Lonchura striata: one gene and its partners. The protein of the gene in region 2 interacts with the protein of the main gene of each other region in a biochemical or structural test. Links are inferred from orthologs where the notes say so. Each region holds a gene or a part of one and is shown on either strand. Other genes may lie near its edges.

Region 1 (7,205 bases), on a different chromosome or scaffold from region 2:
TCATCTCAGAGGGCTGAACCTCCAAATTCCCCCGGAGGGAGAGATTGTGCCTGGAGTGGGGAATTTGTGCCCAGAGTGGGGGTTTACTGGTAGGTGATGAAATAGGGACGGAGTGTCTGGTTTCAGGATTTGCCCCTGTGCCTTGGGAGAGGCAGCGCTGCTCGGCAGAGGGGGAGAGGACAGAGGGGGTGGAAAAGCGGAGAGAGGCGGAGGAGGCTGTAACAGTGCTGCTGTGAGCTCTCCGCAGCAGCACATCCTGGTGCTGGAACGCAGCCGCCGCAGGACAAAGAGATGCCGGGGCAGAGCGGGGCTGCGAGATGTTTCCACCCCGTCCGGAAACAGGAGGGAGCAGAAATCCCACAGGAAACCTCGTTCCCATGGAGCCGCTGACCTGACCGTGCTCCAGCTGTGTTGTCCCACCGGCCAGGTGCATCCCGCTGGCACTGTGGGCACGAGGGGACATTGCAGTGACCCTGGTTGGTCCCAGCCCCCTCCTCTTGCCCTGTGGGGGAGCAAAATGGGGGTCTTAGCAGAAGGCAGAGCAAACCTCAAGGGTTATACCTGTCTGGGGAGATCTTGTCAGGATGCTCTTGTCCCTTTTCCAGCAGATCCCCATCAGTGGTCTCTGCTCCAGCTGCTGTGTCAGGGCTTGTGGTTTGGCTGGGGTTTGGAGCCAGGCTGGAGCTCAGTGTCTCTGCCCTAGGGCAGGAGACGTTTCCCACAGGCTCCTGGTCTGTCCTGTCCATTGCTGCCTCCACGGTGTCCCCAGGTTCAGCTTTTTCCTCCTCCTGCCCTGCTTCTCCAGCAGTCAAGGGTGAGTCTGTGCCTGGGGCAGGGGTGCTGGACATCTCAGGGCACTTGAGGCTGGGGAGTGGGGCTGCCTGGGGGGTTTTGTTGTTGGGAGTCCCTTTCTCCCAGCAGTTCTGGCTACTCTTGTCTTTGCCCAGGCTCTTCCCTGCCTTGCCCAGATTCACCCTGGGCATGGTGCCCATGTGGGAGTACATGTTCGACGACTGGGCGTAGGGGCCAGGGCTCTTGGGCACGGTGTTGAGATCATCCTGGGTGCTGTCAAAGGGCTCTCCCAGGAAGCCGTGGGGAGGTGGGACATGTGCTCTGAGATTGTCGGCACAGCTGGGGTCCACAGGGACGCGCCGGAAGGTGAAGGAGCGGGGGATGCTGCTCAGGCTCCCAAAGCCTTTGAACCTGAAAAACTCTGGCAAGGAGAAAGGAGTGATGAGTGTGGGGTTACTGCTGGCATGGTGTGATGATGGGGGATCCCAGAGCCCCTGGTCCTGGGTTGGGCTGAGCAAGGAGCACTATGCAGCCTGGTGTCACCCTGTTACACCCACATCTGCAGGCCCAGCTTGGCATGATATCCCTGTGGTCTGTGGTGTACATGATGCTGCTTGAGGCATGTCTGTTGGGTACCTGGGAACTCTGCCCTGGTCCCTCGGGGAGCAGAAGTCTCCTGTGCCTGGCAAATCTAGCGGCTGTATCTCCCTACCACGGCTGAGGAGGGGAGGAAACACCCAACCCTGGTGAGCAGGCAACTCTAAAAGTTATTTCTAACACCTACTTCCTCCAGGGGCCTCTGGGCAGAGCTATGCCCATCCCCGCAACCTTAGGGCAGCCCTGCAGGATGCAAGAATGGGCCACACGGCATCTCCCTAGGGAATGGGGGTCCTGGATGCACATGACCTGCCCACATGTGCATGTCGCCGGCACGATGGAGCAGGAACCAGCCACGGGCGCTGCTGCGGCAGCAGATAACCTCCCCACTTCCTCGCCCGGCCCCTCGCCAGCTCCAGCTGCCACCTGCAAGTGCTGAGCATGAACATGTTCGCCGGAGAAATATTTATAACTGCGGCGGGCGGCTTTGCATTTCACACCCCAGCCCCAGCTCGGCTCTGTGTGTCACCGCAGCGCAGCCTTGGATGGTGCCGGTGCCGGTGCCGGTGCCGGTGCCGGTGCCGGTGCTCGGGCTGAGCGAGCCTGTGGCTGCAGTGCTGTTGAGCAGCGCTTCCCTGCCGCCGTGGTTCCCACCGGGGATTTTGCAGTGCTGATGCCGCCCCGGGGCTCTGCGAAGCACGGCAGATTTGCTGGGGCAGGAAGCGACACTTTGCAGAGGTGCTGAGCAAGGACCAGGGTGTCCCGGGCTGCTCAGCCCCTGGATTCCCACCTCCAGTTGCCATCCACGGGTTCTGTGGGGCATCCCTGCAGCTGGACAGGGTGGAGGGGCTGCATCCCAAAAGCCCCTCTGTGAGGCAGAAACCTCATTGAGTGCAGTTAGAGGCAAAATTACTTTGTGCTAAACATCCCCTTGGAGTCCAAGCATCTTCTGCTACCTGCTGCTCCTGGGGCTGCTGAAAGGTGGGAAAGGCAGCCCTGAGGATTTTCTCAATTTCCACGCCACTCCACCACAAAGGAAAATCCCAGCTGGGATGGGGCCCTGGGTTTGGCCAGTGGAGGGGTCCCGGGGGAGCAGAGGGACTGACCCCCCTCTGGCGCCAGCCCCGTGGCAGGAATGCAAGAGCACAGCCCAGCGCTGGGAATGGGGTGAAGGCCACTGCAGCCTCCCCCCGGAGCTCCGGGGGAAAGCTGAGGTCTGTGAGAAAGTGCAGAGCTCGCTCCCGGTGGGTATCAAGCACTTCCTCCCAGAAGAGCCGGTGGGAATCCATTCCCAGGCTCCCTCCCCAGCTTCTCTGTGTCACCCCCGTCCCTGTGCTGCAGGAGCACCCTGGGGTGAGGGTCCTAGCCACCCCTGGCCCCCAGCACCATCTTGTACCCAAGCCATGCACCCTGAAGTTGGTTTAATGATTTAAGGAGTGAAGAATCTCCAAATCCTGCTGTGCATCCCTCTGCCCACATCCCAGCATCCAGCACAGGGCTGTGCTGCAGCATACTGGTCCCAGTCCCTGCACCCAGCTCCTGAGCCAGCACCCAGCCCTGTGGATGAAAACCTCAAAGTCCCTCACCCCACTGAGTTTCCTAACAAAAGCAGAGGCTGTCACAGCTCCAAACATCCCTGGATTGGGATGACCCCATCCCTGGATGGGATGACCTGGGGAGCGTGTAAGCACACACTCAACACTAACTGTCACACATCCTCCTACCCACCGAGACGTCCAGGTGAGCCCGCCCACCCTGTGCCGTGGCCACTTACTGAATTTCTTGAAGCCCCGTCGTTTCTGGCCCTCGGCCATGGCCGTGCTGCTTGGAGGCCGCGGGGACTAAGAGGGACAAGTATATAACTGTGAAGCCCTTCCCTGCCTGCTCCTCCCTTCCTGCCCCCCCAGCCACCCCGCTCATCGCTCGCTCAGCATTTCCTCCCCACTGCTGTCATCTGCTCCCTGCCCCGCTGCTGTCCCTGCCCGCCCTCGCGCTGTCCCCACAGTTCCTGAAGTCCCCGTGGCTGCTTGCACCTGCCTGGCTGCTCGAGAGTCACCTCCGCACCCCGGTTTGGGGACATCTGCCAGATGTGGACAACCAAAAACCTCTGGGTGCCAGCCCTGAAAGAGGGTTCCAGCCTCATGGAAGAAGGTGGCAGCCTTAGGAGGAGCGTGACAGCCCTTTGGGTGAGGGTGCCAGCTGTGTGGGTGAGGCTCCAGCCCTGCAGACAGAACTCTGCCGTGCACGTCAGATGCTCAGCCCGTGTGGGATGAGAGCTGGGTGGCGTCGCTGCCAGCAGGAGCACTCCTCACCAGCCACTCTCTCCTTCTGGGGACAGTGCTCCATTACAGTGTGGCCATGCAGGACAAGGTGGCCTGGACCCAGCAGGGGTCTGCTGTCTGTGTTTCCCTCAGCAAGCCGCTGGCAGCCACCTCTGCCACAGCTCGGTCCTTTGGTGCTGTGCACCTCGGGGACCGGTTTCGAACAGCCTGAGATGGAGCTCTTTGTCCTGCACCTGAACACAGTCACGGCCAGGGGAGGAACTCAGGGTCCCCTGAACCAGACCCTGGAGTCCTCCTGCCTGGCCAAAGCCTCCCTGCGTCAGAGCCGCAGCTGCAGGAGCAGAAGCCTTGTTTAACTCCTGACGTGCTTAAGCACACACGGGGCACCCAGCAAAGCGCTTTAGGGCCACGGGGAGCGCTCGGGGCTCCCGGGCCACGAGGAGGGACAACATGGCGGCGGCCCCAGGGACTGCAACACCCACAGGGCCCCGCGCGGGCGGGCGGGTCACGTGACGGCGTCACGTGGCGGAACGGGCGGGACGCGGTGCTGTGGCAACGGCGCGGCCGCCATGGCCAAGCAGTACGACATGGTCGAGTGCCCCTTCTGCGACGAGGTTTCCAAGTACGAGAAGCTCGCCAAGATCGGGCAGGGCACCTTCGGGTGAGTGCTCGCCGGCCCCGGCCCTCCATGACCCGCCCCGGCCTTCCCCAGCCTCAGGCCTGCAGCTGGGCCCAGCCCGCGGCCCATCGTGCCTGCCTCGGGTGCTCCTTGCTCGGTGTCCTTTCCCCTGCCGCCCCTCTGCCCTCAGAGAGCCAGTCTGTTTCCTGGGCCCTCTTTTCCCAACCTGAGGTCCCGCTCTGTCCCAGCTCTGCCAGAGCAGAGTTAACCTTGAAAACAGTTAGGGTGGCGACCTGTAACTTGCCTCCAAATGTGCAGCTTGGCTCCAAATGTACAGCTTTTTGCTCAAAATGTGCTACATTACTGGAAATCCTTGTAAGGCTGCAAGAGATCTGGGCTCTCTGTTGGTTCACTGAGTCCTGAGGGCCTTTGGCCCAGGGGAATGTGGCTATATTGGCTCAGCACAGAGTTCTCTGTGTGGTGCTTTAGTGTATCTTGTTTGGGCTTGTTCCTTGTGGGGGCACCTGGCTCCTTTCTCCTTGTGCTGCTCATGGATATTTTTTAAATTTTTTTTTTTTTTTTTTTTTTTTTTTTTAACAGAGAAGTTTTCAAAGCTAAACATCGCCAGACAGGCAAGAAAGTAGCACTGAAGAAGGTGTTGATGGAAAATGAGAAAGAAGGGGTGAGTGTGGGGCATGGCTGGGTTGGGCCTGTTGTCACCTGGGCTGCAAAGGCACATGGCAGCAGCGAGGGGACTGGGCTGCATGGGATGGCTGCTTCCCATGTGTTTCTTCTCCTCTGGGACCCTGAGCACAGGGCTCCACACTGGCTGTGTCTGTGGAAGAACTGGGTGATGTGTCAGACACATGCTCAGGGGTTGGGGAGAGAGTTAAGAGCTTAAACAGCAAAGGCAGCAGCCAGGGAGGCTGTTCTGCAGCTCAGGCTGGGCTGTACCCTGTCCTAGTGTGAATATAAAAGGTGAGGAGAGGAGGGGAGGACCTGTCAAGCTGCATGGTCACACCTCCTGTTCTCTGGCAAAGATGGCCTTGTCTCCTGCATCTCCAACCTCCATTCTCTCTTTCTCTTTTCCAGTTTCCCATCACAGCCTTACGAGAGATTAAAATCCTCCAGCTGCTCAAACATGAGAATGTGGTGAACCTCATAGAAATCTGCAGGACCAAAGGTACTTTGCAGGGTGTCCCTTGTGTCAATGATGGCTTTTCTGAGCCCTGCCAGTGGTGAGCAGGCTGGTGTCTTGTGCTGGGAGTGGAGTGGTCTAGCTGAGCATGGGCCTCTCTTCCTGCCTGTGACATGGGGTGACAGGTTACTTACCTTGGAAAAGAGTTCCTAAATGAGTCAGGACGTTGCTGAAGCTCAGATGGAAAAAGCTGTTGTAGTCCTGCCAGGATATGCCTGTGCTGGGAAGCTCCTTCTGAGAGGCTTTAAACGAACAAGCACTTTGGAGCAGAGGCTCCTCAGCCTCTGTATCTGGTGTTATTTAAAAAGTCCAGTCACTGAATGGGCAGAAATGTCTGGCCTAGTGATGGGAAATTCAAGATACTCCAGTACACTGAATTGTGTGTAGATTACTGTCTGAATAGGTATGAGTGAAGACACCAATGACAAGTTAATTTGTAATTCACTCTGTGATTAAAAGAGCTGCCATGATTGGGTGTCTCACATACCAAAAGTAAATATTTTTGTAGACATGTCATTTGTTCCCTTTTTATGTTTTGTTTGTATTCCAGTTTTTATCCAAATCTACCTTGACCTCAGTTTGCAGTAAAGTAGAAATGTTTCATTTACTGTTGTCAAACATGAGGCTTTTCTCTTTTTGTGTTGGAAAGGCGTGTTTGGGGCTGTGTCTGTGTGAGGAACTGCAAACTCAGTGTAGCAGGCACCCTCCTGGGGAGGAGAGTAGTGTGCTTCTCTGGGGGCTAAGCTTTTCCGGCTGGAGATGCTGATCAGCAGGTTTGCTGATTACAACTGATGAAAATCAGCTTTTCTTTTTAATAATGTTTTGCGTGGGTGCTCTAGGAACAAGATTAAAATCTCTTAAAGTCTGCTATCTTATCACTTAAAGTCTTCACTTAAAGTCTGCTATCATTCAATTAAAATTGGAGTTTTATATCACTTTGATCAAGATCAGTCCGTTTTTGCAGATCCTGTTTGAGGTTGCAGGAAATCTCACTTTTTAATGTGAGATTAGACAGATTTTCTGTGTTTCTGCATTTTTCCCGGGGCTGTCTGTGGGTGTCTCCTCTATCTCTGGTGCTTGGCTGGCAGCCACAGCTTGCAGGGAGGAAACCCCACAGCCGTTACGTGCCCAGAGCTGCACGAAGTGAAGCTTTCAAAGGTTGCCATGCCCTTTCCTTGCCTTTCTGATGACATTTGCTGCACCAATCCTCATCTCCCGTTCTTGTGTTGCTAGTTTTTGCTCAGTTCTTTAAAAAGGACCTTGAGGCCTGCAGGCTGTCTGGTTCTCTGTGTTCCCGTGCCCTGAGATTCTGTGTAGGGGGTGTTGTATGAGTGGGAGGTGAGAGGAGCTGTGACCCAGTGAAAGGTCCCTCACTGGCAGCCTCTCTGTGCCTCTCCCGCAGCCTCTCCGTACAACCGGTGCAAGGGCAGCATCTACCTTGTGTTTGACTTCTGTGAGCACGACCTGGCTGGCCTTCTCAGCAACGCCCATGTCAAGTTCACACTGTCAGAGATTAAGAAAGTTATGCAGATGCTCCTGAATGGACTTTACTACATCCACAGGAACAAGGTAATGGGAAAGACTTCTGCTGTGCTCAGAGGGTGACTTTCCAAGGAGCAGGTGTCTTAGCACAGGCTGGAGGGAAATCCTTGTTTCCCACCTCTGCAGCCTGAACATTGTGCTGGCGCAAGGCACCTAAGGAGGGCACTGCATTCAC
Region 2 (7,958 bases):
CACATTTTCCAGAAAAGTTGTGTTACCATCTCTCTCGTCACCTTGCTCCTCCTCCACACCTGTCAAAGAGGTTCAGCTGTTTCAAGGACTCACAGCCCAGTTGCAATAGGGTGCACCTGTATATCCTTGACTCACATGCTGTGGAAACAGGTAACTGGAGACCACTGCAAGGAAAGCTAAAGTGCTTGGAAAGGAAGGGCAAGATAAGAAAGCTGAAATTTCAAAGTATCACCACTAGTAGCTCCAATGTTCAAAAGAAAAAAAAATATCAGAGTGGAAAGTTGTGACATCTGATGGAAAAAAAAGCAGTGGCTCCAATGGGCATTGGCATTCATTCCAGGGAGTAGCAGATAACAGGTTCTCTCCTCCTGGCTTACGCCTGCCTGGCCAATAAAATGTCTCACTGAAGCACAGGCACATTTAGGCTGCTAGGTCACGACATTCTAGCAATTTATTGTGTAAATGCCTGCCAAAAATAATTGCTTTATACTTCTAAGCCACATTTACCTGGTTTGCAGAGTCTCTACACATGCACCCTAAGCAACTCAAAAAGGACAGTATGCAAGATGTTTTCAAGTCATTAAATGTGCACTGAGCAAGGATATGGCAGATGTTCAGACTGCATCCAAACCCACATCTGCACCCTGAGTATCTGCCAGTTACCACGGTACCTAAAGTCTCGGCCATACTGCTTTCTAGTTACCAGTACAAGTGCCCTTCACGTCCTCAGAGATTTGGCAGGCACAATTCTAGTATCAACCACAATAAAACAAGGCCAGTGAGCCAAGAAAGGCAAGGTTTCAGGTCTTTGTACTTTGTAAATGGCTTGAGAGGTGGATTCTTAGATTCTACCTCTATTTCCATCAGCAGCCTTATGATTTAAGCTTTTTCAAGTCAAACCAACTACATTGCTAAACAGAAGTGTTCTGGTAAGTATTTGTCTCAACTGGTGGCCTGCTGTTTAACTTTTTGCTTGAGAACAGAAAGCTGCTACACAGCTTCTGCTCCAGTTCAGAACTGAACAGGTTACTACTGAACCTCACTGATCAAAACACATGCAGCTGGTGCTTGCAGGACAAACCCTGGGACTGCCCCTCCAACATAATACCTTTACCAGAGGGAAGAAAAGAGCAGCCTCCGCCTGAATCCCTGCAACTTGAAGAATAGAACAGAGTCGTCCTGAGAAGCCAGGCTTGCCGTAAGAGCTTGACTTGGGAAAAGAAGCAGCAACTAGCCAGGCTGTTACTTTGCTTGACTTCAGAGTCAGACAAAGCCTGCTCTCAGCTAGAAGTAGCAACTCCAGTGCCTTCCAGGTCCCCATGGAGGCACACAGTTGACAGCTTACTCATTTCAACACCCTGCAGATAGAGCTCTAAGTCTGAGCAAAAGGCCTTGGACTGAAATTAAATGTAGATTTTTTTTTTTCCCTGTACATTGAAAGACTGTCAACAAACAATTGCAAGACAACAGGTATTATTTATATATCATAATGAAGGTCTGGTTCTGAATAGGTAAAGGAAGCAATCTCCAGATGCTGAAAGGTTTCAACCACCATGTATCTTATCTGTTCACTGCTAAGTAATGATCAGTGAAAACAAAACTTTACCTGTAAATGAAATTTTCAGGATTATATTGCAACCTGCCTTGTTTTTTTTTTTTTCAATCAAGGGAAATGACTACTCCTGTTTTCATTCTTATAGAGGAACTTGACTATGATTTTAGGTGAATGTTTCCCATGAACACCCATGACCAGAAATTATATCTGTTACTGAAAGAGCTGTGCAGTCTCCCTTCCATTATATTGTTAGTCCATTATGTGAATGTATCAAGACCTGGTATATCCACACTGCAGTTTAAAAAACACAGATTACAAACTATTAGTAGTGACAGCATAGCTGTGACAGGTCAGCTCAAGTTGCAGAAGGGTAAGCAGAAGTCAGAACACGTACATCAATGCAAGTCCACACGGTGGGAATAATACCCCAGCTAGATATTATGCAACTGCATCAGGACTCTACAACAAAGCTTTTGCCATGATTTAGCTGTATTACAGCTGTCCTCTGAGCCAGCTCATACTGAGGAGAAGGAAAAGCAAAAATCAAGAAAGGCTTTATTAATCTGTTTACACATGCCTAATGACTAATTTGAACGGAAATGCCTCATTGATAAGCACAGGTTAACATTATGCAACAGAAAGGCAACTGTCTCTGCAACAGTCATCTCAATACCCTTTCTGCAGCTTCATAAAAGATGCAAAGGGGAAAAAATACACAGAAACACACAGTAAGACTACCTGTATAAAGCTGATTAAGACATATTTGAAATAACTTGCAGTTGGAAGAATTCGCTGATCACATGGTGCTATTTTCTAATGCCACTTGTTAGTTATCTAAAAGGACTCCTGAGCACGCACTTTTATCACAAAATATTAACAAAAAAGAGCAATCTACAGAAGCCGGTTTACACAGACGTGAACATGGCAACACCCCACTTCAGTCTACCTTCGCTTGGAAAAAGCAGAGTACGTGAGCTTTGGCTGTGGGAGCCCCGGCCGCGGCTGCAGCGAAGCTAGGGCGCAGCGCCTGAGCTGGGGCACAGGGCAGACCGAGCGATGCCGCTACTCACCAGAGCTCCATCCGCTGCCGACAAGCTCTCGTACGTCTTCCACGCTCTCTCCCTCACGCTCTCCGACACCTTCAGCGCCTCACACAGCGCAGCGAAGTCCGCTTCGCCGACCTCGACCCTAGGAAAAGCATCGCACATCGCCAGCGGGGACAGGGACCGCGGGGCGACCACGAGACCCACGCCACCGGCTGCCGGAGCCGCCCCGGGGTGACACCGCCCCGCACCGCCCACAGCCCGGCCCGCCGGGCGCCGAGAGCCCCGGGGCGGCCCGCCCGCCTGCAGCGGGGCGCCGAGAGCCCTTACCGGGGGGCGGCGGGCGGCGCGGAGCCGCCGTCGGGGCTGGGGCGCTGCGCCCTGGCGGCGCCCGCCCTGCGCGGGGGCTTGGGCGGCATGGCGGGAGCGGCTCCGGGAGCGCCCGCCGCGGGCAGCACTGACCGGGGCCGCTGCCCCCGCCCGCCGCCCGAACCGCGGGAAAACGGCGTCAGCGCCACTTCCGTCACTTCCGCGCCGGCGGCCGCGCCCCGCCCCGCCCGCGGCCCGGGCTCGGGGCGGGACCGGGGCAGAGGCGGCGCGGCGCGGCCCGGGCTCGGGGCGGGACCGGGGCGGAGGCGGCGCGGCGCGGCCCGGGCTCGGGGCGGGACCGGGGCGGAGGCGGCGCGGCGCGGCCCGGGCTCGGGGCGGGACCGGGGCGGAGGCGGCGCGGCGCGGCCCGGGCTCGGGGCGGGACCGGGGCGGAGGCGGCGCGGCGCGGCCCGGGCTCGGGGCGGGACCGGGGCGGAGGCGGCGCGGCGCGGCCCGGGCTCGGGGCGGGACCGGGGCAGAGGCGGCGCGGCGCGGCCCCAGAGCCGCCGCGGGAACGGCGGCCCCGCCGTGCCTGAGACTTCAGGCACTCAGCGAGCACAGCCGGTACATCTTTTCCGTGAGCTGGGAAGGAACGCGGGCCGGTGTGTGAGAATAACTGTACGGAATAACTACAGGCGCAGAGCGGAGCAAGAATTGCAGATCCTTTAGGATCTGTCGGTTCATGGAGACCAAGTGCCGGCCCTGCGCGCCGGTCACAGCAGCCGCTGGCAGCGCTGCAGGCTGGTGGCACAGCGGCTGGGAGTGGCCCGGGGTGAAAGGAGCTGGGGGTGCTGGTCGGCAGCAGCTGAATGTGAAGCCAGAGTGTGCCCAGGTAGCCAAGAAGGACAATGGCATCCTGGCCTGCATCAGCAACAGTGTGGGCAGCAGGAGCAGGGCAGGGATTGTCGCCTTGTGCTCGGCACGGGTGGGGCTATAACTCAACTGTGTCCAGCTCCTCTCGAGAAGAAAGTCCAGAGAAGGGCAGGGTAGCTAGGGAAGGGTCCGGAGCGCAAGTCCTGTGAGGAGTGGCTGAGGGAGCTGCGGGTGTTTAACCTGGAAACAGGAGGCTTGGGAGACCTTACTGCTCTCTGCAACTGCCTGAGCAAAGCCTGTAGTGAGGTGAGGGTTGGCATCTTCTCACAGGTAACAAGTGACAGGACAAGAGGTTGTGGCCTCAGACTGCACCAGGGGAAGTTTAGGTTGGACACCAAGAGGAATTTAATCATAGAAGGGATTGTTAAACATTGGAATGGGCTGCCCAGTGAAGTCACCATCCCAAAAGGTGTTCAAGAAATAACTAGACATGATGGCATTTGGTGCCATAGTCTCATTGACAAGGTGGTAGGTGACCAGTCAAAGGATGGCCTTGATGATCTCAGAGGTCTTCTGAGGTCTTCAAACCTAAATGATTCAGTGACGTCTCAATCTGAATTCATCCAAGTCCTAACTGAAATGTTATTTCTAGCACTGTGCAGTAAAATTACATTAATGTAAAAAGTTCAGGTTGTGGACATCTGGATTTTAAGTCAATGAGATTCAAATTGCCAGTGCTCTGATTCAAAGATCTTAGAAATCTGCTTTGTTGTCTGCAGTTGCATACTCACATTTAGAAGGCCAATCTCTGCTGTAAACAAGCATGTTTATTTTCAGACTTACATGATGACAACTTCTTAAAAAAGGAAAAGTATTTGTATGTAAGTATTCTTACTACCTGCACGTATCTGTCATTCACCTGTAAAGCAACTGCTTTTAGTGAGACTGCTGTCAAAACTCTGGATTTAAGAAAATCCCAAACAAAAATCAGCATGAGCATTAATGTGTTATACAATTAAAATTCCCTAGTATTTTTACAACCATACATTCTAGTAATTTGTTCAGGCGTGTCCTTTATGATTCTTAACTTAAAACAGGAGAACAGTGTCTGGCTTTCTGCTTTATAATTAGAATTAAACCAATTACAGAAAAGTGAATACAGAACAAATCAAAGTACATAAACTCCAAATTAAACGTTTGAGTTGTAGACTGTAGTGGGATTTGGACATTCCTGATTATGATTCTAGTAAAATTGTGGCAGTAGCTTTACCCTGCTTCTAAGCACATTTAAATACTTTTTGTATTCAGATGGTACCAGATGCTGTGGAAGGTTTGGGGTAGGACTGTCTGTCATCAACCACTGAACCACAGACAAGTAGACAGACCAGCTTGGAAAAGTAAGCTGAACCCCTAAACCACAGCTGAGTCCATTGCCTTCTCCTCAGAACTGGCTTTAAGAGCACAAAAGAATTTAAAATGAGAGCAAAGCATCTCAGAAAACTTGGTTGCAGCCAGTGGAGGCCATGCCAGCTGTTAGCAAGACAAACAAACACACCCTCCTGGGTCGCTTCCCTCGCAGCTGCTTTAACATGCTGTTACAGCCAGGCCCTGCATCGTCCAGATGGCAGGCAAAGAATTTGTCTCGTGGCCCTCTGTGCATTGCTCCTTTTAAAAAGTTCACAAACTAGCCTCAGTGTAAATACTATTTTTAAAAAATTGTTAGTGCACCAAGCACCTTGTCATGTCAAATTTTAGGTACTTTTTCATCAAGCAAGGCTCTGAGGGCTCCCCTCCATAAATAGGTAAAAAAAAATATAATCTCAGAATGCTTCAACTTACAGCTGGAAGGAGGCAAAGGGAACAGCAGATGAATCAAGCAAAAATAACCTTTAATAATCCATCCCAAAGCCTTGGGTATAGTAACTACATCTAAACTGCAGTAAGAAGAGTTAACATGTATGTACTTCCAAAGAAAGGCACATCCTTGTGTAAAACCATACTTAAGTTGCTGCACCTCTTTCCCCTTCTCCTTTTAAGACTTACTGATTTGAAAGTTTTAATCCTGTATTCTAAAACATCTTCTAAATGAAGCCTTTAGACTTTTCAGTAAAATTACAGTAAAATTACAAAGGAAAGAAAAAAATCAGCTGCTATTGGGGAAGCACAAAGAAAACACTGCAATGTCAAATAAAGTATTAATGATAGTTTTTGCATCTGATCTGACAAAACCTTCATTCTAAGCATCTTACTCCAACTGCTTTTATAGTATAGGTCACGGACATATGTGAAGCATTGTCCAGTTCTGACTCATTGTTTCCAGCCTTAGGTAATTTTGTTACATAACAAAAGACAACCTTAGGTAATTTTATTATCCTAATTTTTTCACTTAAAAGTATTTCATGGTAATTGCCAGTTGGAATTAAAGCCATTATTTCAATTATAGTAAAATCAGTTTTCTGAAGTTGTATGACCAAAACATCTGCATTTAAAACCCCACTAAATTGAGAGCTTCTGGATATAAGTCCAAATACTAAATATTGGCAGAATTTCTGCTCAAATAAAGCCCATAGGCTGTAAAACTCAAAGACTATAAAGATGTCTGCATGTATCACACCCATTTTCCTGCATGTAACAGGCAGAATTATCTAGGGAGGGGACAGAGGCTTTCCTAGCCAGCCTTTTCTGTGCATTCACATTCCTTGCACTGTTCAGCAGCCCCCAGCCCTCTGCCATCAGTGTCACCTGGAGCCCACCTGTCCTTCTCAAGCCCCAGCACGAGTGCTAACAGGAGCAAGGAGGTGCAGGCTAACTTTTCACCAGCTGCTGCCCTACAGGCCCCAGGCCTTAAGAAGAGCCTTTTTGGAGAAGCACCTGGTGCAGCAGGCAGACCCAAGTGACAGTCTTGCTGCAGGAGATCCTCAGGGACATTCAGGCCATGGCTTGAACAGGCCCTTTGCATTCCCCAGCATCACCTCCCCTGGTAACTCTGTGATTGTGCTGGCATCACTCTGCCTTTGAAATTGGGAAGGGTTTACTGGGGAGATGGGGTGAAACTGTTTGGTTGTTCCTCTTGGTGGTGGTGAGCCTGACCTTTGTGCCATTGTTTCCTACACAAATACACATCCTGAGATATGAAGAATAAAAACCCCCTCTGTAAGTTAATATTTCCACAGTGAGGTAAAATCCATAGGGACCATAACAAACATCTACCCATTTCTCTTTAAGATGAGAGGGATCTGTCAGACGTTGCCACTTGTAAAAATTCAAAGCCTCTCTCTATACATTGATATTATTATTAAAAAGAATACTTTTCACTCCACAGTTACAGGCATTGGTGGCTTGCTCTTCTCAGAGCACTACACAGGGCACTGCTGGACTCTCAGGACTGCAGTGATAAGTTTAAGGCAGGAATCTCTATTAATAAAACATTTGACCAAACTGCCAGTGGGATCTGAAAGGACACCACTGTTACTGGATGGGGAAATGGCTACATCTAAAGGATGCCTATGTGCAAAACCTCAACCCTTCACAGATACTTCCAGTTATTTTTCTTGGACATCAGAGAGGTTTTGCATTGATCAAGCTTTTAGACTTGAGTGTCACTTTCTTTTTACTCAGTTGTATTTTTTTATAGAGGAATCATAACTACTTATACAGACCCTCCACATTTTTTGTTCTCTGTGAGAATGGCTGTCAGAGCTGTGTCTGTTTTAACAGATTTGCACTAGTGCTGAGAGCCAGGGTACTAAAAAATAAAATCACTGACTGGTGCAATTTATCAGATTAAGCCCTAGTGACAGTGCAATTACATCAGACAAAAAATGATCATTCCTGGTATGGCTTTCCTTGCTTACAAGGGTTCCTGGATATCAGTATAAATCATGCCCTTGCATGCACAGCTGCATCACAGCCTGTGTTTTGTCACACAAGTACCACCCTGTGTCCTTGGCTGGCAAAGCACTTCAAACCCTGGGTACACTGTGCCCCAAGAGGGTGCAGGGAAGGCATCCTGCGTCCCCTCTGCAGGGCAGTTCATTCAGCTGATACTGCCAACTACTAATGAAATAACTATCAGCAAGCAAGCCACAGCCCTCTTGTTGCAATTACACAGCCATATTAAGGACCCTGCCACAATCCCTCCCTTCCCATCCTTCTCGGTCCCAAGTTCTGCTTCCTCT
Region 3 (7,478 bases), on a different chromosome or scaffold from region 2:
CATTGGGGACATTGGGGACATTGTTTGGGACATTGGGGACATCAAGGTCAGACCCCTGAGTGACCCCTGAGTGACCCACGGGACCCCCGGGGTGGGTTTGGGGTTTTGGGGTCACCTGGCAGAACAGCAGCCCCTGCAGCAGATGGGACAGGTGACTCTGGAGACAGCATTGGGGACATTGGGGACATTGTTTGGGACATTGGGGACATCACTGGGGACATTGGGGACATCGTTTCAGACCCCTGAGTGACCCCTGAGTGACCCAGGGGACCCCCAGAATGGGTTCGGGGTTTTGGGGTCACCTGGCAGAACAGCAGCCCCTGCAGCAGATGGGACAGGTGACTCTGGGGACAGCGATGGGGACATTGGGGACATCGTTTGGGACATTGGGGACATCGTTTGGGACATTGGGGACATCACTGGGGACATTGGGGACATCGTTTGGGACACTGGGGACATCCCCTGAGTGACCCCTGAGTGACCCAGGGGACCCCAATGACACAAGGTGCTTTAGGGTTCCCCCAATGTCCTCAAGATGTTTTAGGCCCCCCCAGATATTTTAAGGCCTCCCCAGATGTTTTAGGCCCCCCCAGATGTTTTAGGGCCCCCCCAGATGTTTTAGGGCCTCCCCAGATGTTTTAGGGCCCCCCCAGATGTTTTAGGGCCCCCCCAGATGTTTCGGGGTCCCACCTTGATGAGCGGCAGCGCGATCCCGCTGAGCGAGGAGGAGTCCATGAACTTCTTGAGGTCCTGGTGCAGGAACTCGAACACCAGGTACAGCTTGTTCTCCGTGTGGATGACATCCAGCAGCCTGGGGACACGGGGACAGCTTGGGGACAGGGACATGGGGACAGGGACACGGGGACAGCTTGGGGACACGGGGACAGGGACACGGGGACAGGGACAGGGACACAGGGACAGGGACACAGGGACAAAGTCTGGGACACAGCCTGGGACACGGGGACAGCTTGGGGACAGGGACAGAGGGACAGGGACACTGGGACAGGAACTCGAACACCAGGTACAGCTTGTTCTCTGTGTGGATGACATCCAGCAGCCTGGGGACATGGGGACAGCGTGGGGACAGTGTGGGGACAGCCTGGGGACACGGGGACAGGGACATGGGGACAAAGTCTGGGACACAGCCTGGGACCACGGGGACAGCTTGGGGACAGTGTGGGGACAGCCCTGGGACATGGGGACAGGGACACAGGGACAGCCTGGGGACAGCCTGGGGACATGGGGACAGGGACACGGGGACAGGGACACGGGGACAGGGACACAGGGACAGGGACACGGGGACAGGGACACGGGGACAGCGTGGGGACAGTGTGGGGACAGCCTGGGGACACGGGGACAGGGACATGGGGACAGTCTGGGGACACGGGGACAGCCTGGGGACAGCTTGGGGACATGGGGACAGCCTGGGGACAGGGACATGGGGACAGGGACACGGGGACAGGGACAGGGACACGGGGACAGGGACAGAGGGACAAAGTCTGGGACACAGCCTGGGACACGGGGACAGCTTGGGGACAGGGACATGGGGACAGGGACACGGGGACAGGGACAGGGACACAGGGACAGGGACACAGGGACAAAGTCTGGGACACAGCCTGGGACACGGGGACAGCTTGGGGACAGGGACATGGGGACAGGGACACGGGGACAGGGACAGGGACACAGGGACAGGGACACAGGGACAAAGTCTGGGACACAGCCTGGGACACGGGGACAGCTTGGGGACAGGGACAGAGGGACAGGGACACGGGGACACCACAGCCCCAGGGGTCCCATGGCCACAGGGACACCACAAAGCCCCCCCAGGACACTCCTGGGGACCCCTCCTCAGTGACATTCCCCCCCAGAACCCCCCAAAAGCCCACCAGGACCCTCCAGAGCCCCCCAAGACCCTCCGAGACACCCCCAGGACAATCCTGGGGACCCCTCCCCATTACCACCTCCCCCCAAAACCCCCCAGGACAATCCCGGGGACCCCTCCCCAGTACCAGCTCCCCCCAAAACCCACCAGGACAATCCTGGGGACCCCTCCCCATTACCACCTCCCCCCAAAACCCACCAGGACACTCCCGGGGACCCCTCCCCGTTACCATCACCCCCAAACCCCCCAGGACAATCCCGGGGACCCCTCCCCGTTACCAGCTCCCCCCAAAACCCACCAGGACACTCCCGGGGACCCCTCCCCATTACCAGCTCCCCCCAAAACCCACCAGGACAATCCCGGGGACCCCTCCCCGTTACCAGCTCCCCCCAAAACCCCCCAAGACAATCCCGGGGACCCCTCCCCGTTACCATCACCCCCCAAAGCCCCCCCAAAACCCCCCAGGACAATCCCGGGGACCCCTCCCCATTACCAGCTCCCCCCAAAACCCACCAAGACAATCCTAGGGACCCCTCCCCGTTATCATCACCCCCAAAACCCCCCAGGACACTCCCGGGGACCCCTCCCCGTTACCATCACCCCCCAAAGCCCCCCAAAACCCCCCGGGACACTCCCGGGGACCCCTCCCCGTTACCACCACCCCCAAACCCCCCAGGACAATCCCGGGGACCCCTCCCCATTACCACGTCCCCCCAAACCCCCCAGGACAATCCCGGGGACCCCTCCCCATTACCAGCTCCCCCCAGAGCCCCCCAAAACCCACCCCCAGCACCCCCGGCCTCACTTGACGATGTTGGGGTGGTTGAGCTCCTTGAGCAGCGAGATCTCCCTGATGGCCGTGCTGGGGACACCCTCGGTCTCCCTGCCGTGACAGCGGCGCCGGGGGTGGCCGTGAGCCCGGGGACCCCCCGGGAGACCCCCGGGACCCCCCGGGACCCCCCACTCACGTGTCCAGGCGGATCTTCTTGAGTGCCACCACCTCTCCCGTCACCTTGTTGCGGGCCTTGTAGACCACGCCGTAGGTGCCCTCACCGATCTTCTCCACCTTCTGGAAGTTCTCCATGGAGGGGACACCGGGGGGGACACCGGGAGTGGCGGGGGGACACCGGGAGTGGCGGGGCACACTGGGAATGGGGACGGGGGTGGTCCCGGAGGTGGGCGGTGGTCGCAGGGAGGGATACCCGGGGTAAGGGCGGGGATTGCCGGGGGTGGCACGGGGGTCTGGGGGTGTCCCCGGCGGTCCCTGAGTGTCGCCGGGGGTGTCGCCGGTGGGGTTCTGTGTGTTACCGGGGGTGTACCCGGTGTCACCGGGGGTGTCCCTGGGGGTCTCTGGGTATCCTCGAGGGTCCCCGGGAGGGATATCTGGGGTCGGGGTGGGGTTGCGGAGCTGTCCCGGGGGTCTCTGGGTGTCCCCGGGGGTGTCCCCGGTGTTACCGGGGGTGTCCCGGTGTCACCGGGGGTGCCCCGGAGAGGTTCTGGGGATCCCCGGGAGGGATATCCGGGGTGGGGCTGGGGTTCCGGAGCTATCCCGGGGGTCTCTGGGTGTCCCCGGAGGTATCCCCGGTGTTACCGGGGGTGTCCCGGTGTTACCGGGGGTGTCCCGGTGTCACCGGGGGTGCCCCGGAGAGGTTCTGGGGGTCCCCGGGAGGGATATTCGGGGTGGGGGTGGGGATCCGGGGGTGTCACCGGGTGTATCCCGGGGGTCTCTGGGTATTCCCGAGGGTGTCCGGGTGTCACCGGGGGTGTCCCGGTGTTACCGGGGGTGCCCCGGAGGGGTTCTGGGGGTCCCCGGGAGGGATATCCGGGGTGGGGCTGGGGTTCCGGAGCTATCCCGGGGGTCTCTGGGTGTCCCCGGGGGTGTCCCGGTGTCACCGGGGGTGCCCCGGAGGGGTTCTGGGGGTCGCCGGGAGGGATATCCGGGGTGGGGGTGGGGCTGCGGGGCAGTCCCGGTGCCGGGGGTGTCCCCGGCGGGGCCGGGGTGTCCGGGGGGGTTCTGGGGGTCCCCGGTTGTCCCGGGGTGTCCCTGGGGGGGTTCCCGGGGGTCCCGAGCGCGGCCGCCGCGTCCCCCCCGCGCGCGCCAAACCCGCGGCGGCCCCGCCCGCGCCGCTTCCCGCCTTGCCGCCGGCCACGCCCCCCGCGCCGCCGCCCATTGGCTGAGCCGCGCGTGACGTCACTGGAGAGGCGGGAGATACCTTAAAGAGACAGGCACACTACCGGGAGAGACGGCGGCAATGGGGACAGGGACCGGGACATTGGGGACCGGGACAGGGACAGGGACAGGGACAGGACAGGACAGGGACAGGGACAGGACAGGGACAGGGACAGGAACAGGGACAGGACAGGGACAGGGACAGGGATGGGATAGGGACAGGGACAGGGACAGGACAGGGACAGGGACAGGGACAGGGACAGGGAGAGGGACAGGGATCGGGACAGGGACAGGACATGGACAGGGAGAGGGACAGGGACAGGGAGAGGGACAGGGACATGGACAGGACAGGGACAGGGACAGGACATGGACAGGGACAGGGACAGGACAGGGACAGGGACAGGGACAGGGACAGGGACAGGGACAGGGACAGGAACAAGGATCGGGACAGGGACAGGGACAGGGACAGGACATGGACAGGGACAGGGACAGGGATCGGGACATTGGGGACCGGGACAGGGACAGGGACAGGACAGGGACAGGGACAGGGACAGGGACAGGGACAGGGACAGGACATGGACAGGGACAGGGACAGGACAGGGATCGGGACATTGGGGACCGGGACAGGGACAGGGACAGGACAGGGACAGGGGCAGGGACAGGACAGGGACAGGGACAGGGACAGGGACAGGGACAGGGACAGGGACAGGACAGGGACAGGGACAGGGACAGGGACATGGACAGGACAGGGACAGGACAGGGACAGGGACAGGACAGGGACAGGGACAGGGACAGGGACAGGACAGGGACAGGGACAGGGACAGGGACATGGACAGGACAGGGACAGGACAGGGACAGGGACAGGGACAGGGACAGGGACAGGACAGGGACAGGGACAGGGACAGGACAGGGATCGGGACATTGGGGACAGGGACAGGGACCGGGTTTGGGATGGGGACAGGGACCGGGACCAGGAACCGGATTGGGACCAGGACAGGGACAGGGACAAGGACAGGGACAGGGACCGGGGACAGGGACCGGGACAGGGACAGGGACCGGGACATGATCGGGACATTGGGGACAGGGACAGGGGATTGGGATTGGGACTTTGGGGACAGGGACAGGGACAGGGACAGGGACAGGACAGGGACAGGGACATTGGGGACAGGGACAGGGACCGGGTTTGGGATGGGGACAGGGACCGGGACCAGGAACCGGATTGGGACCGGGACAGGGACAGGGACCGGGTTTGGGATCAGGAACCGAGACCAGCAACTGAAACAGGGACAAGGACCGAGACCGGGACCGGGAATCGGAATCGGGAATGGGACCAAGGACCGGGAATCAGATCGGGACTGAGACCGGGACCGGGGATTTGGGATCAGGATCCGGGATAAGGATGGGATCGGAACAAGGACAGGGACCAGGATGGGGTCGGGGTCAGGACCGGGACGCCGCAGCCTCTGCCCGGGCTGCTCAGCCAGTGCCTGCACCGGGCACCGGGCACCGGGACCGGACACCGGGACCACAGCTCGGGCTGCGGCCAGACCACAACCGGACACGCGGGGGTCACGGGGAGCAGCCCCGGGGGCCGCACGGGGGTCACGGGGCTCCCGGGGGTCACGGGGCTCCCGGGGGTCACGGGGCTCTCCGCACACGTGGCCCCACCGGAACGGGCCCGCACGCACCGGGACAGCCCCGGGGGCACGGAAACGGCCGGAGCAGGAAAGATGGGGGTCACCCACCGGGATCGGGGTCCCCCCCGTGTCACCCACCGAGATCGAGGTCCCCCTGTGTCATCGGGGTCCCTCCCCGTGTCACCCGCTGAAATCGGGGTTCCCACCCGTGTCACCCACCGAGATTGGGGTCGCCCTGCGTGTGCAGAATTGGGGACCCCTCCCCGTTCTCTCCATGATTGGGGTCCCCCTCTCATGTCACCCACCAGGTTCGGGGTCCCCCTGTGTCATCGGGGTCCCCCCGTGTCACCCACTGAAATCGGGGTCCCCCCGTGTCACCCACCAGGTTCGGGGTCCCCCTGCGTGTGCAGAACTGGGGACCCCTCCGCCTTTTGTCCATTATTGGGGTCCCCCCCTGTGTCACCCACCAGGTTTGGGGTCCCCCTGTGCCATCGGGGTCCCCCCGTGTCACCCCCCAGGGTCCCCCCGTGTCACCCACCAGGTTTGGGGTCCCCCTGTGTCATCGGGGTCCCCCCCTTGTCACCCACCAGGATCGGGGTCCCCCATGGGAGACCCCGACCGGGATCGGGGTCCCCCTGTGTCATCGGGGGCCCCCACGGGTGACCCCCCGGAATTGGGGTCCCCACCCCTCCCGTGCCAGGCTGGGGGTCCCCCACTCTCACTGAGTGTCAAACCGGGGGTCCCCCCGCTGTGTGCAGAATTGGGGACCCCCCCCCCATGGCTGTCACCCCCATGATCCCCCCAAACCCCAAAACTCCCAAACCCAAAAAACTCCAAAACCCCAAACCGCAAAAGTCCCAAATCCCAAAAACCCCAAAAACGACAAAAATCCCGAATCCCAAAAATCCCAAACCCCAAAAATCCCAAACCCCAAAAATCCCAAATCCCCATCCCTGGGGTCTCCGCGTGCCGGAATTTGGGGGGGGGGGGTCCCCCAAAAACCCCAAACCCCAAAAAATCCCAAAACCACAAAATCCCAAACCCCAAAAACCCCAAACAACCCCAAAACCCCGACCCCCAAACCCCCAAACCCCATCCCCGCGCTCTCCGCGTGCCGGAATTTGGGGGGGGGTCCCCCCAAAACCCCTTCGCCGTTTTGTGGGGGGTCCCCAAAACCTCCCCCCCCCCCCGCACCGTGTGACCGCGGGTGGCCCCACGTGGCAGGGGAGGGGGGGGGATTTTGGGGGCGGATTTGGGGGGGTCACGGCCCCTGTCCCCCCCTTTTTTGGGGGGGCGTGGCTATGCAAATGAGCGCCCCCTTTTTGTGCGGCTCTCCCCGAGCCCGGCGCCTCTGCCCCGGCCGTGCCGAGCGTGGGGGGAGACGAGCGGGGACCATGAGGGGGCTCGGGGCCATCGCGGTTTTTGGGGTGCTGCTGCTCCTGGCTGAGGCTCAGAGGCGTAAGTGGGGTTTTTTTGGGGTGCGGGGGGCGTCCGGAGCTTCATATTTTGGGGTGCAAAGCCCCCTCTTAAAGAAAAATCCGTCACGGGGTTGGGTTGTACCCCGATAATCCCCATGGGGTTCGCGGGTTTGTGACATAATTTTTTTGGGGTGCGGGGGGCGCCCGGAGCTTCATATTTTGGGGGTTTTGGGGTGCAGAGCCTCTCCTTAAAGAAAAATCCGTCACGGAGTTCGGTTGTACCCCGATAATCCCCATTGGGGTTCGGGCTTGGACATAAATGAGTTTTTTTGGGGGTGTGGGGGGTGTCCGGAGTCCCATTCTTTGGGGGT
Region 4 (7,089 bases), on a different chromosome or scaffold from region 2:
TTTACTGTTGACAGCAGCATTGTCATAAATATTAACAGACAAGAATCACCTCCTACCTGAGAAAATACAGGGATAAAGGTGAATATTTTTATTTTTGAAGCCTACAGCATAGTTCTCTTAATACAGCCACCTGCCTTATCTTCTTGAGGGCATTAATTTAATAAAAAACATGTCAGATCAAGTAGCCAGTTGCTCCAGTTATGGAACAATTTTGTTCCCTGCCTTTCCATCCCTCCACAACCCTGCCTGAAGTCAGATGTCTAAACTGGGCCCCAAGAACGAGGCAGGCAGGCAGGCTGCAGCTGGGGAATCCAACTTCAGGACAGCCCCAGAGGTTGTAGGAGTTTAATGAGGACGGTCTGGCTTCTCCCTCCCCTCCTCACACCTTCTCCAGGACATGTCTGGAGTTACAGAGTAAATTCAGCATAATCCCTACCCTTCAGACTGCAGCCCAAAGGGCATTTTCCCAACTAAGGTACTAGCCAAAAATAAAAAAAAAAAGTGTGAGGGGAAAATACATTTTAATTATTTTATTTTTCTTAAATATAATAGAACCTTCTAGAATTTTTTTCCAGAAACAGAAACATTAAAAAATTATACTTTATTACAAATGGTAAACTCAGAGTGCTAAAAAAAAGCCTCTTATTTACAAACAATACTGGGCAGTGCCCAAATAAACAACATAAAAATAACTTACAAAGTCATGAAGTAGTTTATTGACATTAATCAACTTTCATAAAATAAAATAAAAAAAGATATGTACATACACAATTTACTTGAAGGCAGGCAGAACAGTTCTTTTTTTTTTTTTTGTTTATCAGCCTCCCACAAACCTCCCTCCCACTTTTTTTTTTTTTTCTTAAGGAATACTACATAAAGCAATCTACAGTTTCTATTGCAGTTTAACCTTTAATACTGAATGATCATCGAATGTTAGGTCCATGCAGGTCTTGGTCAATGTTAAACGAAGATCTGACATCTCATCCGAGCAGGAGCAGCACTTCCCGGAGCAGCGCTGCCCGCTGCGCTCCCGGCTCCAGCCCAAGGCTTTGCCAGTCTTTCCACACATGCGCTTTGCGGAGCACAGGCAGGACAGCCCCTCAGCTCTTTGCCATTAGCTTTATGCCTCTGCCACTTTGGATTTTTCCTCTTTTAGTTGTACCACAACACACAGTTCTCGCCGAAGAGTCTCTTCAAAACGTCTGCAACTGCTGTGTGAGCATGAGCTGGCACCCGCTGTTGACGTGGTTCATGACCTTCTGCTTAAGCTGTGCAACCTGTTCTCTGAGCATGTTGGCAGTGGATGCCAGCTCTGAGTTCTGGGCTTTCAAAGTTTTCACTTTTTCTTCCAACCGGGCAATCCTTTCCAACTTCCTTTTCCGGCATTTGGACGCCGCGATTCTGTTCCTCATGCGCTTTCTCTCGGCTTTGATTCTCTCCTGTGACTCCATGTCAATGGGGGACAGGGGAGGAGTTTCCCCCGGCATTTCAGGTACAGTCTGCGGCTCCTCTTTCAGAGCCTGGAGCCGGGGATGCTGCACGGGCATCTGCGGGTTTATGTGATGCTGGGGCGCGTATCCCATGCTGTTGGCGTTGTAGCTGGGCGCGGAGCTGAGCGCGTTGGGGTTGAAGTTGCTGAGGTTGGCGTACACCGGGGGCTCGCTGTGCAAACTGGTGTTGAAGCTGGTGCTGCCGGCCATGGAGGACACAGGTGCCATCCCGCTGCTGACGGGCTGGGCGGCCGAGGTGACGCTGGGCAGCGTGTTCTGGTTGTGCAGCTCCGCCAAAGCTCTCACGAAACCCTCGGCGAACCCCTCCTGCTCGTCGGTGACATTCTTGGGGCACAGGAACTGCGTCGGGGTCGGCGTGGTGGTGATCAGCCCGTTGCTGGACTGGATGATGAGCCGCTCCAGCTCGGGCGAGGCCAGTTTGAGGAGCCCCACGTCGGGCGAGGTGAGGATGTCGGCGTTCTTGTTCCTCAGGTGCGGCTTCAGGTTGCTGGAGGGGTCGGACAGGTTCAGCGTCATGTTCTGCTTCAGCACCTTGGCGTTATTGTATCCGTACCCGCCGCTCTCCGGCGGCGCGAAGCCGGCGCTCAGCGCATCCTCGTAGAAAGTAGGCTCCATCTTTGCACTCATAGAACACAGTCCGGGGAAGGGAAGCTGCCCGGCCGCCGCTCAGCTCCCCGCGGGCACCCCGACCCTCCCGGGGAAGGGGAACGCGGAGCCGAGGAAGGAGAAACGCGGAGCCTTACTGGATCGCCGCTGCCGCTGCCGCGCTGAGAGCCCGCCCGGCCTGGCGGGGCGCCTCGCCTCCCTCCTCCTCCTCTCGCCGGTGGTGCCGGGACGCCGCTCCGCCGCCACAAGTACTTTCCCTGCCCGGCTCCGCGCTATTCCCGCTCCACCGTCCCGGCGGCCGCGCTCGCTCGTTCACTCGCTCGTTCACTCGCTCGCTCCCGCCACCCCGCGCTCTGCGCCCGCTCCCGCCGTGCAGCCCTTCACTTATCAGCGGCCGCGGGCCCGCTAAAAATAGCGCATGATGTCACCCCGCGCGCTCCCCATTGGCTGCTGCCGCCCCGTCCCCGAGGGGGGGGCGGGGCCAGGGCCCGGCGCGCGGTCGCCATGGCCACCCCCCGCCCCCCCCCCACTTCAGAAGCTTCTTGAGCGCGCGGGGCCTTGTGGGATGACGTAATGGCGGGGGGGGCGCGCGCGCGGGGCAGTGTGGGCTGACGTCTTTTTGTTTTTGAACGATCCGGTTACCGCGGGCCGGCCGCCGCCGGTGCGCCGAGCCCCGTCCGTCCGTCCGTCCGTCCGTTTGTCTGTCTGTTTGTTTATCTGCCTGTTTGTTTGTTTGTTTGCGCTGCCTGCGCCGCGTTCCGGCGCTTCCCTCCCCCCGCCGCCGGTCCGGCCCTTCAGGTGGCGGCGCTCCCGGGGAGCCCCACGTGGTTTCCCCGTCCCGCCGCCCCCGCCGCTTCCAGGCAGCGCCGCGGGCGGCACCGGCGGCTCCCCCGCGCCGCCCGCCCGGCCCGGCCCGCCCGGCCCCCGGGGCCCTGCCCGCCCGGGCCCCGGGGCTCTGCCCGCCCGGGCCCCGGGGCTCCCCCGCGCCGCCCGCCCGGCCCCCGGGGCTCTGCCCCCGCGCCGCCCGGGGAGTCCCCGCTGGCCCGCCCGGCCCCGCGGGGTTTCGCTGGGGGTTCGCCTTCGCCCCCGCACCTCCGCCCGCACCCGCCCCCGGGCACGGCTCTGCCTCCACAGAGAGCCGATTCCCGGCCTCGGGAATAGCCGGGAGAACACGGAGGGGAAGTAAAACCCGACAGGAAAAAGCCGGGTTACGGATGGGTTTCTCTGAACTCGTCCTCCAAGGGGAAGGGACAGCGACGGCCTAATTTTAGACAGTGTCCCAGTATTGCTGTGGAATTGCAGGTTGGGCGGGAGGGAGAATAAGGGCTGGAGCCGGAGGATCGCGGCGGAGGAGAAAAGTCCCCGCTGGCAGCAACAGATGGGAGCTGTGCCTCGCTGCGCTGCTCCGTGCGGGCAGAGCGCTGATCACAGGGATGCGCTTGCCTTCCCTTGCCCCGCACACCCCCTTCTCTCGGCGTGCTGGGGATTTGGGATTGCTGCCACCGCTGGAGTAAAGTGCAGCAGGTATTTGAGGACAGGCAGTGACAGGACGGGGTGGCACAGGGACTGCAGGGCTGTCCTGGTGGGTTTGATTGCCAGCAGTGCAACAAGTGCTCCTCGTGCTTCCAACTCGAAGCTGTTGGCTTGCTGCTGTTCAGCTTTTTGTCAGTGCAGAACTTGATCTGTCAGCTTGAACCCCTTCACACGACATGTGAAGCTAACAAACTTAGGTTCATTTTGAAAACACCCTTTCAAATTCCCCAGTTCTATTTTTTTCCTGGATGTAATGACATAATTACCAGTTACCGTATAGAAAGGAGCAGCGAAGCAAACAGAAACATCAGCATCTATGAAAGAAAAGTGAAGGTCCAGCTCCCCTCTTGGAAGTTGTTGGGGATTTTTCCTTCTGCGTTGTTCCCACCTGACTTTGGCCACATGGCAAGCACTGGTGTTAACGGGAATGATGGAAATAATGCATGCAGTGTGTTAACAGTCTGTAGCACAAAATAAAAAAAAAACGTTTTGGACTGGATGAGGGGGCTCACTGTGTGCTGCTGGTGTCTGTACAGCCTTCACAGAGTTAGCATCTCTCTGGGCTGCAGGTAACTCAAACTTCAGCTGGGTAAACTGTTCAGCCAAACAGCACTAAGTTACTGCGCATGCATAAGAAAATCTCAGGATTTCATTAATGCAGTGAGCACTCAAATTAATTCCTTTTAATGTTTACATACAAGATAAATAGAGACCTGTGGCTGACTCTTCTGGCCTCAGAGCCAAGGGACATCAAATGAAACTGGCAGGTTCGGAACAAACCAAAGAACTGCGGTTCAGCGCTGGAACTCCCTGGCAAGGGTGGACGGAGGGATTTTAACGTGATGGATGAATTCACGGAAGAGAAATCACTTTAGGTCTGTGAATCACGGAGCATCTACACTGGCTCTGGAAATCCTAGGGCTGCAAATGACTTGTGCCCGGGGGGCATCCCTGGCTTGGGGTGGCTCCCTAGGGACCCACTCCTGGCCCCTGTCAGAGATGGGGATCTCGTGTGGCCGTCCTTGAAGTGTTACAGCCCCCGGGGATAGCCCATAAATGATTTCAGTGTCACCCCGCAGTTTTCATGTTTATAAAGGGCAAGGAAGAAAATCTGAAGAAATGTAAGACTTGAATTCGAGGTCGTTTGTTGTATGGAGTTTTTTATTTTGAAATAAATGATTTTAAATATTTCCAAATGAAGCTAAAAATGGGGGTATCTGGTGCATAGGAAGCCACACAATTAATTTGCTGTATAGACAAATACTATTAAAATTTATTCTGATTACCTTTATGTATTAGTTGGTTGTGTTGTTTTGTTTTATCTTTTGGAGTTTTCTGCTGCATGTTTCTTCTGTCCTAGAAAGCAAAATTCAAACTATGAGGAACATGGTCAGCATAGCTTAAACCACTCTATTTATTACAGATTTGTATAACCTGTAAAACTGCCTTTGGAGCTCACTGATCTGCAAGGTTTTGATTAACTTCAGTAAGGGCTGGATCAGGCGGGAGGGATTAATTTAATTTAATTTTTTTTTTCCCCTCCACCCATTTCAGCTCTGTACTTCCTTCCTCTTGCAGAGGCGGGGTTGGGGAGCAGACATTCCAGTTTGGGAGCTGGGGCCCTGTGGCTCTGGGGACACCCATTCCCGTCACTGCTGCTCACTGCAGGTTGTTCCCTGCCACAGAGAGCCAAGGTGCTTGTGAAGGTTCTGCGGAGCAGCAGAGCACTGAAATCAAAGACAGGAGCTCCTGGCTGCTCCCAGGGGATTTCCTGCCTAGCTGGGGACCTTTGGGAGGGTTTGGCTGAGATTTCAGTCCCAAAATCGGCGCTGACACACTCAGAGTGGAGCAGATCCAAAAGCAGGACCCATGGATAGTGATCCTTCATGGCCATTAGCCAAGGAGCTGGTGGCTATGCTCTGATTTATTAAACACCTATTAATTCCAGGCTTTTATTCCCCCTTTCCTGACATCCTTAAGAAAATATTCCTTTAGTAGGATGAGGGAATGCTTCCTGACCCAGGTACAAACCAGAGCCATTTACATGGCTCAATAAACTAACTTGTGGCTAGGAATTGCCAATCCCTGCCCTGTATTTCTGAGAGGCCGATGCGTTGAGCAACAGTAATGCACATTTTGATTTATAAGCTTCTCTAATCAATCAATAGAAGCTTGAGTGAGGCAATCAGATAATCTGAATAATTAAATGGCTTTTCAGGGACAAATTAAAATTTGTTGCACACACCACATCCATCTAAATTATATTTGGTGTCCAGGAATAAATGGGTTTGCTGGTTTGTTTCACTCCTGCATCTCAAATGATTTTGACTTACTTCAAAATTATTTGGGAAAAAAAAAAAAAAGGAAAGAAAAAAGGATAAATGTCAGTTTCTGATTTTTTTTTACATTGGAAAGAGTGGTCACAGAAAAAAAAAATACTTTTTCCCATATAGTTTTATTACATGTATATTAAATATTTCAATATATATTTTTCTTTAGACATGTCAGAATATTTTGCTTTTTCTTCTCCTCAGAGAAGTTTCCATAACACCTTTATTGTATAGAAAATTATTATGTAGATTTTTTGTCTTCTTTTTTTAAAAAAACAGGACTTCACACTTTCTAAATGTGATATCCTTCTTCACATCTTAAAGTGAGTAAAACTGGGAAATCCTGGATTTTTGCACACTTGCTTAAGGAGTTACTATAGACCAGTTTTCTCCAACTGGGGGAGACAAGAGTTTGAAGAGTCAGAAAGCAAAAGTATTTTTCTCTTATTTACTCCATCAAGGCACAGTAAAAGAAGGTGGGAGTGAGAGGGTACAAGGAATAGAGTTTCCTTAGGCCAAGTGGAAGTAAAATAATCATTCCCGGGTTCTGCTGGTCCCAGTCCCTCGCCGGTTCCTCGGGGCGTGTTTGCGTCCTCGGTTCAAGTGGGTCCAAGTCTGCAGCACAGCACAGGCGTGGCACAGCTGCCACCTCATCCACCCCCAGCTTCCGTGGCCTCTCCTCCTGCTCTTTGCTCCCAGCAGGACTCCTGTGGCCAGGTGGAGATCCAGGAACTGTGGCTGAAATAAAAACAAATCAATACACCTGGGGACACAGGGGAAAGGTGGGAATGGATAAGGCTGGGGGAAGAGTGGGACTCGCAGCTTGATGTGGAGGACTCTGGAATCAAAACTCTAAAAAAGCCCAGCCAGTGTTGAGTGAGTGTTCATTTTGCACATGAAAAATGCTCTTCAGAACCACAGGCACTTGTAAATGAATATCGTGTCCATCTCCTCCACCCTCCATTAGTCATCGCATAACCAAGCCGTACGCACTCAGTCCTTTTCATCTTCCTTCTTGTCAAGCCCTTTAGCCTGTCCCCCTCACCTACTCATCCCACCAATCATTTTAATTAATCTCTGAATTTCTTTGAAACTAATAGTTTGTGGAA

What was found.
Region 1: of the proteins of RB1 (region 2) and CDK9, one has a biochemical effect on the other in vitro, tested with the Homo sapiens proteins (4 studies listed by BioGRID, with this or other methods). The link is inferred for Lonchura striata from reciprocal best matches to the Homo sapiens genes RB1 and CDK9.
Region 3: of the proteins of RB1 (region 2) and CDK2, one has a biochemical effect on the other in vitro, tested with the Homo sapiens proteins (35 studies listed by BioGRID and IntAct). The link is inferred for Lonchura striata from reciprocal best matches to the Homo sapiens genes RB1 and CDK2.
Region 4: the proteins of RB1 (region 2) and JUN form a complex in vitro, tested with the Homo sapiens proteins (2 studies listed by BioGRID). The link is inferred for Lonchura striata from reciprocal best matches to the Homo sapiens genes RB1 and JUN.

What each region holds. Positions count from the first base shown.
Region 1 is NC_134624.1:694,612-701,816, forward strand, and holds the start of CDK9 (cyclin-dependent kinase 9), read left to right. Parts: upstream 1-4,205; 5' UTR 4,206-4,240; coding exon 4,241-4,332; intron 4,333-4,890; coding exon 4,891-4,972; intron 4,973-5,382; coding exon 5,383-5,473; intron 5,474-6,890; coding exon 6,891-7,057; intron 7,058-7,205. Other genes in the region: SH2D3C (SH2 domain-containing protein 3C), read right to left, coding at 562-1,213, 3,164-3,203. UniProt on the Homo sapiens protein: Protein kinase involved in the regulation of transcription.
Region 2 is NC_134604.1:61,979,146-61,987,103, reverse strand, and holds the start of RB1 (retinoblastoma-associated protein), read right to left. Parts: upstream 3,018-7,958; coding exon 2,929-3,017; intron 2,744-2,928; coding exon 2,626-2,743; intron 1-2,625. UniProt on the Homo sapiens protein: Tumor suppressor that is a key regulator of the G1/S transition of the cell cycle. The hypophosphorylated form binds transcription regulators of the E2F family, preventing transcription of E2F-responsive genes.
Region 3 is NC_134629.1:9,321,600-9,329,077, reverse strand, and holds the start of CDK2 (cyclin-dependent kinase 2), read right to left. Parts: upstream 3,006-7,478; 5' UTR 2,967-3,005; coding exon 2,851-2,966; intron 2,766-2,850; coding exon 2,688-2,765; intron 812-2,687; coding exon 691-811; intron 1-690. Other genes in the region: melanocyte protein PMEL, read left to right, coding at 7,084-7,147. UniProt on the Homo sapiens protein: Serine/threonine-protein kinase involved in the control of the cell cycle; essential for meiosis, but dispensable for mitosis. Phosphorylates CABLES1, CTNNB1, CDK2AP2, ERCC6, NBN, USP37, p53/TP53, NPM1, CDK7, RB1, BRCA2, MYC, NPAT, EZH2.
Region 4 is NC_134611.1:7,572,401-7,579,489, reverse strand, and holds JUN (transcription factor Jun), read right to left. Parts: upstream 2,481-7,089; 5' UTR 2,139-2,480; coding exon 1,194-2,138; 3' UTR 516-1,193; downstream 1-515. UniProt on the Homo sapiens protein: Transcription factor that recognizes and binds to the AP-1 consensus motif 5'-TGA[GC]TCA-3'.